Oryctolagus cuniculus: one gene and its partner. The protein of the gene in region 1 purifies or fractionates together with the protein of each later gene. This does not show direct contact. Links are inferred from orthologs where the notes say so. Each region holds a gene or a part of one and is shown on either strand. Other genes may lie near its edges.

The links.
Region 2: the proteins of NEK2 (region 1) and ANAPC1 purify together in Homo sapiens (affinity purification with mass spectrometry; 3 studies listed by BioGRID and IntAct, with this or other methods). This does not show direct contact. The link is inferred for Oryctolagus cuniculus from reciprocal best matches to the Homo sapiens genes NEK2 and ANAPC1.

Annotation. Positions count from the first base shown.
Region 1 is NC_091444.1:26,241,544-26,244,739, reverse strand, and holds the end of NEK2 (serine/threonine-protein kinase Nek2), read left to right. Parts: intron 1-1,664; coding exon 1,665-1,891; 3' UTR 1,892-2,428; downstream 2,429-3,196. UniProt on the Homo sapiens protein: Protein kinase which is involved in the control of centrosome separation and bipolar spindle formation in mitotic cells and chromatin condensation in meiotic cells.
Region 2 is NC_091433.1:113,103,653-113,107,469, reverse strand, and holds part of ANAPC1 (anaphase-promoting complex subunit 1), read left to right. Parts: coding exon 1-133; intron 134-2,366; exon of another isoform or gene 2,367-2,481; intron 2,482-3,254; coding exon 3,255-3,306; intron 3,307-3,496; coding exon 3,497-3,597; intron 3,598-3,817. UniProt on the Homo sapiens protein: Component of the anaphase promoting complex/cyclosome (APC/C), a cell cycle-regulated E3 ubiquitin ligase that controls progression through mitosis and the G1 phase of the cell cycle.

The DNA of each region.
Region 1 (3,196 bases):
CAGAGGGTGAAAATAGCTCGATAAGGATGGGGGTTCACCCTATAGGACACAGGGGTAGGTGTGGGATCCACTGTGTGTGAATCACGGCCAGTACTTAAAATGAGCTGTGGGAGCTGTGACTCCGCTGGGCTGGGAGGCACCGAAGGCGCTGAGCCGCTCAGAACATGAGATGCACACCGGGGCCGTGAGGAGTGGGCGATCCTGTGACCTCAGGACAGCAGGAAACACCCTCACCCCACCCTCGGCCTACAGGATCCAGACGAGCGGAAGACATCACGAGTCTGTCCAGTTCAACACCATGAGCCTCGGCAGCTTTTCTTAAAAATCATTCTTTGTCCATTTAGCGGAATACCCATTCTTCTATTTTTTTTAAAAAAAGATTTATTTATTTGTTTGACAGGCTGAGTTACAGAGAGAGAAGAGAGACAGGAAAAGAGATACCTTCCATCCACTGGTTCACTCCCCAAATGGCTGCAATGGCCAGGGCTGGGCCAACCAGGAGCCAGGAGCTTCCTCCCTGTCTCCCACGTGGATGCAGGGGCCCAAACACTTGGGCCGTCTTATACTGCTTTCCTAGGCCATTAGCAAGGGGCTGGGTGGGAAGTGGAGCAGCCGGGGCTTGAACTGGTGCCCATATGGGATGCCGGACTGCAGGTGGCAGCTTAACCCACCGCACCACAACGACACCACGACAGCCCTTGTGAAACAGGAATTCTTTTTCTAAACACTTGGAGCACTCCCGCACCCGAAGTGGGTGCAACCGGCCCGAAGCACTCCTCAGCCCAATGGCCCGATGGCCCGTGCCTCTGACCGCCTCACTTTGATCAGATCTTCCCCCAGAAGTCTCAGTAGGAGGCTTTTTCTGTCACCACAGCCACCGCCCAGTTCGTCTGTCCCACTGCACGTGACGCTGTCACTCACTCCCCCTCTGCACTTGTTCATTTGTTTATGGGCGGCCTCCTCCCGCTAGGATTGGGTCTTTGTTTGGCTCCCAATGCCCCATGCTGTGAGTTCAGTAAATACCTGAACACATTTCCTCTAAGGGCACACAGAGGAGCAATAACAAGGTTCTGGATTCTGAACCTGCACGCCCCCAGCCCCCGACCTGGTCTGTCCGTCTTCTGGGAGCAGTGTCCCGAGTCCGCATGCATGGGATTGGTCTGGGTCGCATACAAAGCTCAGGCCTCCTTTTCCACTGCTCTGCTCCTGGATTTTCCTTTCTCACGCTGAATTGGCTTAGGCTCTTTTTGAAATAAGTTTCTGGTGGATTAAACTGCTTTGAGCTGAGGGTTCTTGAACACTTAAATCTGTAAAAAAGGAGCTTCTGCGGCTATGCCTTTCTGAGTGTGACGTCTTGCATAGAATGGCCGTTGTTTTTAAGAATAGCAATAAATCACACTGGCTTCCAGAAGTCTGATGTTGTGGCCATGGCCCCTGCGCCTTGCCGCCTTGCCGGTGAGAGAGTAGACACATGTTCCTTGATGTGGACACACTCCAGGGTTGGTTTTCAGTGCGGTGGATTCCTGCCGGCCCAGAGACCGCGGACCTCCAGCTGCACCCCGGGAGTGGCCGTCCTGTGCTAAGTGTGGTGAGTACGCAGGAGTGGAGCTCCCATTCAAGTAACTCACAACCCTTTTCTTTTCTTTTTCCTTTTCTTTCTAAAGAGCTTCTCGATCTTCCATCCTCAGTAATTAAGAAGAAGGTTCATTTCAGTGGGGAAAGCAAAGAGAACATCGGGAGGAGTGAGGACCCCGAGAGCCATCTCACCTCCAAAGCCAAGTGCAAGGACTTGAAGAGGAGGCTGCACGCTGCCCAGCTGCGGGCTCAGGCCCTGTCGGATATTGAGAAAAACTACCAGCTCAAGAGCAGACAGATCCTGGGCATGCGCTAGGCCGTGCGCGCCAGCCCCTTAACCATGGACATCCAGCTGCTGCCGCTTGCTGTGCTTGGGCCACGAGCCGTGGCTTTGCGTGTCGTGAGCCTGATGCTTCAGAGTCGCCGTGCTATTCTACAGCAGCCGCTGTACGAGCGCCTGGGCTGTGTCTTCCTTCCTTCCAAACCTGGCGTCTAATCCTGTGCGTGCCGTGACTACTGCTTAGGAGCGTGAGCTGTAGCGTTCTAGATCTCAGGGGAAAACACACGCACGCAGGAGTGGCACGTCCTGGGCATCTTGAATGTCTGCGGGCTGCGCTGAACAGTTGCCGTGTGTAGTTTTAAGGGTGAGACTTTGGATGTCCTTGAACTTAGAGAGCTGAATTGAATGTAATTCAGTCACTGTACCAGCGCATCCTGCTCCCGACTGTGCCAGTGCAGTGCGAGCCGTTACCTTTGTGAGCTCGTGGCTGGGATGACTGCTCTTTTGGTCCCTTTTGTTCTCTGCTGTTCACCCCCACCGTTGGCCACTAAATAAAAGAGTCCTTCCGTTTTGCTTCTGTCTCCTGGATTCTGTGATCTCAGTAGGATAGAGGGAAGCGTGTTTGTAACTTAGGGGCCTTGTAGAGTAGGGAAGAGAACGCGACTCTGATGTCAAGAGGCCACTCTGCTCTTCCGTGGGCGTGGCTCCCCACGAGCCGCCTCCCTGGGGCACGGAGGCCAGGGGTCCTGAACCGCATGATTTGCTCCTGCGGGTGTTTGGCCTGGAGACCCTGCTGATGGTCATCACTGGGGACGTTGCTGCTGGTGCGGGGGGCAGAGAGTGGGCGTGTCGCGCAGCCCCTGCAGTGCACAGGGCAGCCAGCCCCGACGACGGCTTCCACAACGGCCCCTGCAGGGACCCAGCCTGAGCCGGAACCTGCTGGGGCACACCCCCCCACCCCCTGGGAGCAAACTCAGTTTGGACGTTGGTGAGTGTTTTAAAAATACGTCTGCCTTTTAGTGTGCGTTAGCAGTCCTTGTGGTCCATCGCGTTTTCCATGTGGTGTTTTGTGGGCAGTGTTAATCCTTTTGTACAATAAGACCAAATTGTGAAAGCTCAAGAAGGAAGAGGAAATAGCTCCTTTATGTGTTACACAATTGGTAATGTAATCCCACCAAAGGCAAGTGATGACGTTATCCAAACCATCAGAAACTGACGGTGCCTTTATGGTGTATGCCTAGGGGACCATTTTGACATGACTGTTGAGTGTGACTTCCAGCCTGCTCTATAGCTTGCAAAGCGCAGGCCTACGGAAACCGTGTGACCCGTCACAAAGCAGCA
Region 2 (3,817 bases), on another chromosome or scaffold:
TGAAATTGGAGAAGAAGTGGACTATGATGAGGAGCTCTATGTGGCTGGAAATATGGTGATCTGGAGCAAAGGAAGTAAGAGCCAGGCTCTGGCAGTTTATAAAGCGTTCACAGTTGACAGTCCTGTTCAGCAGGTGAGTTGACTGGAATTTTAGTGTGTGATTCACGAGTTACTCTTTTAAAAATAAATTTTTGTTATGAAATTGAGCAGAAATGATAAAAATAGTATCATGATCCCAGCAGTTGGTATAGCGCATTCTAACATACAGTGAAGACAATGGCAGGAAATTTTATAATTTCATTTTATTTTCTATATCATCACTTCTTTATACTTTTTTACTCCTTTGTCGATGAAAATCTTTAAACACTTTGCTCTTGGGTATTCTATTTGTTGTTATCAACCAAAGTTTATAAGACACCAAAGCTATAAAATATTTTTAACATGTGATTATTATAATTTACTGAAAAATGTTGGATAAGTAAAAATTGAGCTCATAATGATACTCAGAAAGAAAAAAGAAATCTGGCTTGTAACCAGTGTAGTTGGCTGTCACACCCGTGTTCTGAAAATTGGTGATTCAAGGGAAGAAATAAGCATCTGCTGTGTCTTCTCAGGAAGGTGTGTGATTCATCTTTATTAGTCGGAGGAAAACTTACACAAGAAATCCAGCTAATGCACACAGAAGGAACGCTGGAATTAGAAGAACACCATTTTATAAACTCCAGTGTAATTGATTCAGGCCAGAATTGTAAATGAATACTAATACAGTAGGGTGAAAGAATGTTACCATGGCACTAAGCTATCACCCTGTGGATTACTTGCTAAACATGAAAGAACATGTAGGGTTGACTGGAGTGTAGGGAGACTTGTCAGGGACACTGGTTTGTGGTAGTTCAGCTCAGAGATGGGTGTCTTGGAGAAAGTGTTGACACAAGTGTGAATCAAAACTGAGGGAGAAGTGAAGGGGGCTAGTGATCTTTTAGATATCAGGGATAAAAGAGATCTTAGCATATTTATTTCAGGGACCAAGAGAAAGGGATTTTTGTTAAAGGATTTATTTTATTTATTTGAAAGACAGTTATATAGAGAGGTAAAGACAGATAGGGGCCGGCGCCGCGGCTCACTAGGCTAATCCTCCGCCTAGCGGCGCCGGCACACCGGGTTCTAGTCCCGGTCGGGGCACCGGATTCTGTCCCGGTTGCCCCTCTTCCAGGCCAGCCCTCTGCTGTGGCCCGGGAGTGCAGTGGAGGATGGCCCAGGTGCTTGGGCCCTGCACCCCATGGGAGACCAGGAAAAGCACCTGGCTCCTGCCTTCGGATCAGCGCGCTGCGCTGGCCGCAGCGCGCCAGCCGCGGCGGCCATTGGAGGGTGAACCAACGGCAAAGGAAGACCTTTCTCTCTCTCTCTCTCTCTCTCTCACTGTCCACTCTGCCTGTCCAAAAAAAAAAAAAAAAAAAAGACAGATAGGGAGGGAGGGAGAGAGAGAGAGAGAGAGAGAGGAGAGGGAGGTCTTCCATCCACTGGTTCACTCCTCAAATGGCTTCAACGGGTGGAGCTGAGCCGATCTGAAGTCAGGAGCCAGGAGCTGCTTCCAGGTCTCTTCGTGGGTGTAGGGGCCCAAGGACTTGGGCTATTCTCTGCTGCTTTCCCGGGCACGTTAGCAGGGAGCTAGCTCAGAAGTGGAGCAGCTGGGACTCGAACCTGCACCCATAAGGAATGCTGGCGGTTCAGGCTGGGGCTTTAACCCGCTGCACCACCGTGCCAGCCCCTGAGGATGGGATTTCATAAAAGGAGTTGAGGTGTAATAGGTGCAGTATAGATTTTAGATACTTCAGATTGTAGCACAGTTCTCTTGGATATTTCTCTTCCTGAATTTTCATCTGTTAATGTGCCATTAAAAATACAACTCAACAAAAAGAAAATCCAATTAAAAAAGGGGAAAAAAAACATTTTCTAAAGAAGATATACAGATGGTCAATAAGCACATGGAAAGGTGCTCAGCATTGCTAATTACTAGACAAATACAAATTAAAGCCGCAATGAAATACCACTGTAGGTTGGCTATTTTCCAAAAACCAGAAAAATATCAAGCGTTCATGAGAATGTTCAGAAATTGGAACCCTGTGCATTGATGGTGAGAATGTTGACTGCTGTGGAATGTTCCGTTAGGATTACCTCATGATCCAGCCATTGTGTTTCTAAGGATATACGCTGAAGAAGTGGAAGCAGGCACTCATACAGGTTATTTGGGCACTAATGTTCGTAAGAGCATTATTCATGATAAAAGGTAGAAACAGACTACACATTCATCAAGAGCTGATAAGTAAAACATAGCATATGCAAACTGGAAAAATTCAGCTGTAAAAAAAGGAATGGAGTTCTTGATGTGTGCTACAGCAGGGATGAACCTTGAAGACATTATGTTAAGGGAAACAAGCAAGACCCAAAGGGACAACTTCGGTGCAATTTCACTTATATGAGGTATCTGGCATAGGCACATTTATAGGGAAAGTAGAATACAGGTTAACCAGGGCTGGGGTGAGGATGAAATGGTAGTTACTGTGTAAGAGGTGAGGTTTTTGTTTTGGATGAGTAAAAAGTTTTGGAAATGAATAGTGGCAAGGTTGTACAATATTGTGAATGTATTTCATACCATCAGATAGTACAATTAAAAAATATTGAACTAGGCCGGCGCCGCGGCTCAATAGGCTAATCCTCCGCCTGCGGCGCCAGCACCCCGGGTTCTAGTCCCGGTTGGGGCGCTGGATTCTGTCCCGGTTGCTCCTCTTCCAGTCCAGGTCTCAGCTCTCTGTGGCCCGGAAAGGCAGTGGAGGATGGCCCAAGTGCTTGGGCTCTGCACCCGCATGGGAGACCAGGAGGAAGCACCTGGCTCCTGGCTTCGGAGATATTTTTCTAAAATGAGTCTAGGGACTGTTAAGAGTAAGACCAACTGGTAAGCTTGGAGCTAATAAATGCCAACTTGGACTCTTCAGATAGTCTAGTTTTGTGAGGGATGCAGGGTTTAAGACAGATTGTGCCACAGGCTTCTTTCTGGTAGGTTTTTTGATTGTCTTTTCTTCTAAAACTTAATTACGTACGTGGTTTAGCCTTCCTTACAGTATTTATCATTAATTAGTCTAATTTTCTTTCTTTTTTGTTCCCATGGTATACATATTGTGCTGAGGAAGAAACAAAGTTATTATGTAGATGCTATTAATAGATTATTATTTAGATCAATTTTGTTTTGATTTTAGGCATTGTGGTGTGACTTCATTATATCACAGGATAAGTCTGAAAAGACCTACAGTAAGTTTCTTTTTGAAATTTTTATTTCTCTTAACGGTGATTCTTGATTTTTTTTTAATTCAAAGTAAGTAGCCACTCACAACAGTGGTTAGTTAAGCCTAAGCATTTTATATTGTGTATTAAAGAACTTCTGTTAGGATTGAGCTCTTTAGGAAAAAAAATCCATAAACATTATACTTTGTCTTTTCAGGTAGCTATGAAGTAGAAAAATGCATATGTATATTGCAAAGCTCATGTATTAACATGCACAGCATAGAAGGAAAGGATTACATAGCTTCCTTACCATTTCAGGTAAACTTGAGTGTTTCAGATTGTTTGTGTGTTTTGTTGGGGAACATTTTTAATTAGCTGGTTTTAGAGGTAGGCCTTATGTCTCATGTCTTATAGAAATCAAGACTTTTTACTCAAATATGACAACTGAATTTTGACCGCTTTAGTAACTGGCATTTTTCTGTCCTTTGCATTAAAAACTTCAGTTATTTAAGGAAGTGAATTATGAAGTTTTCTGAGA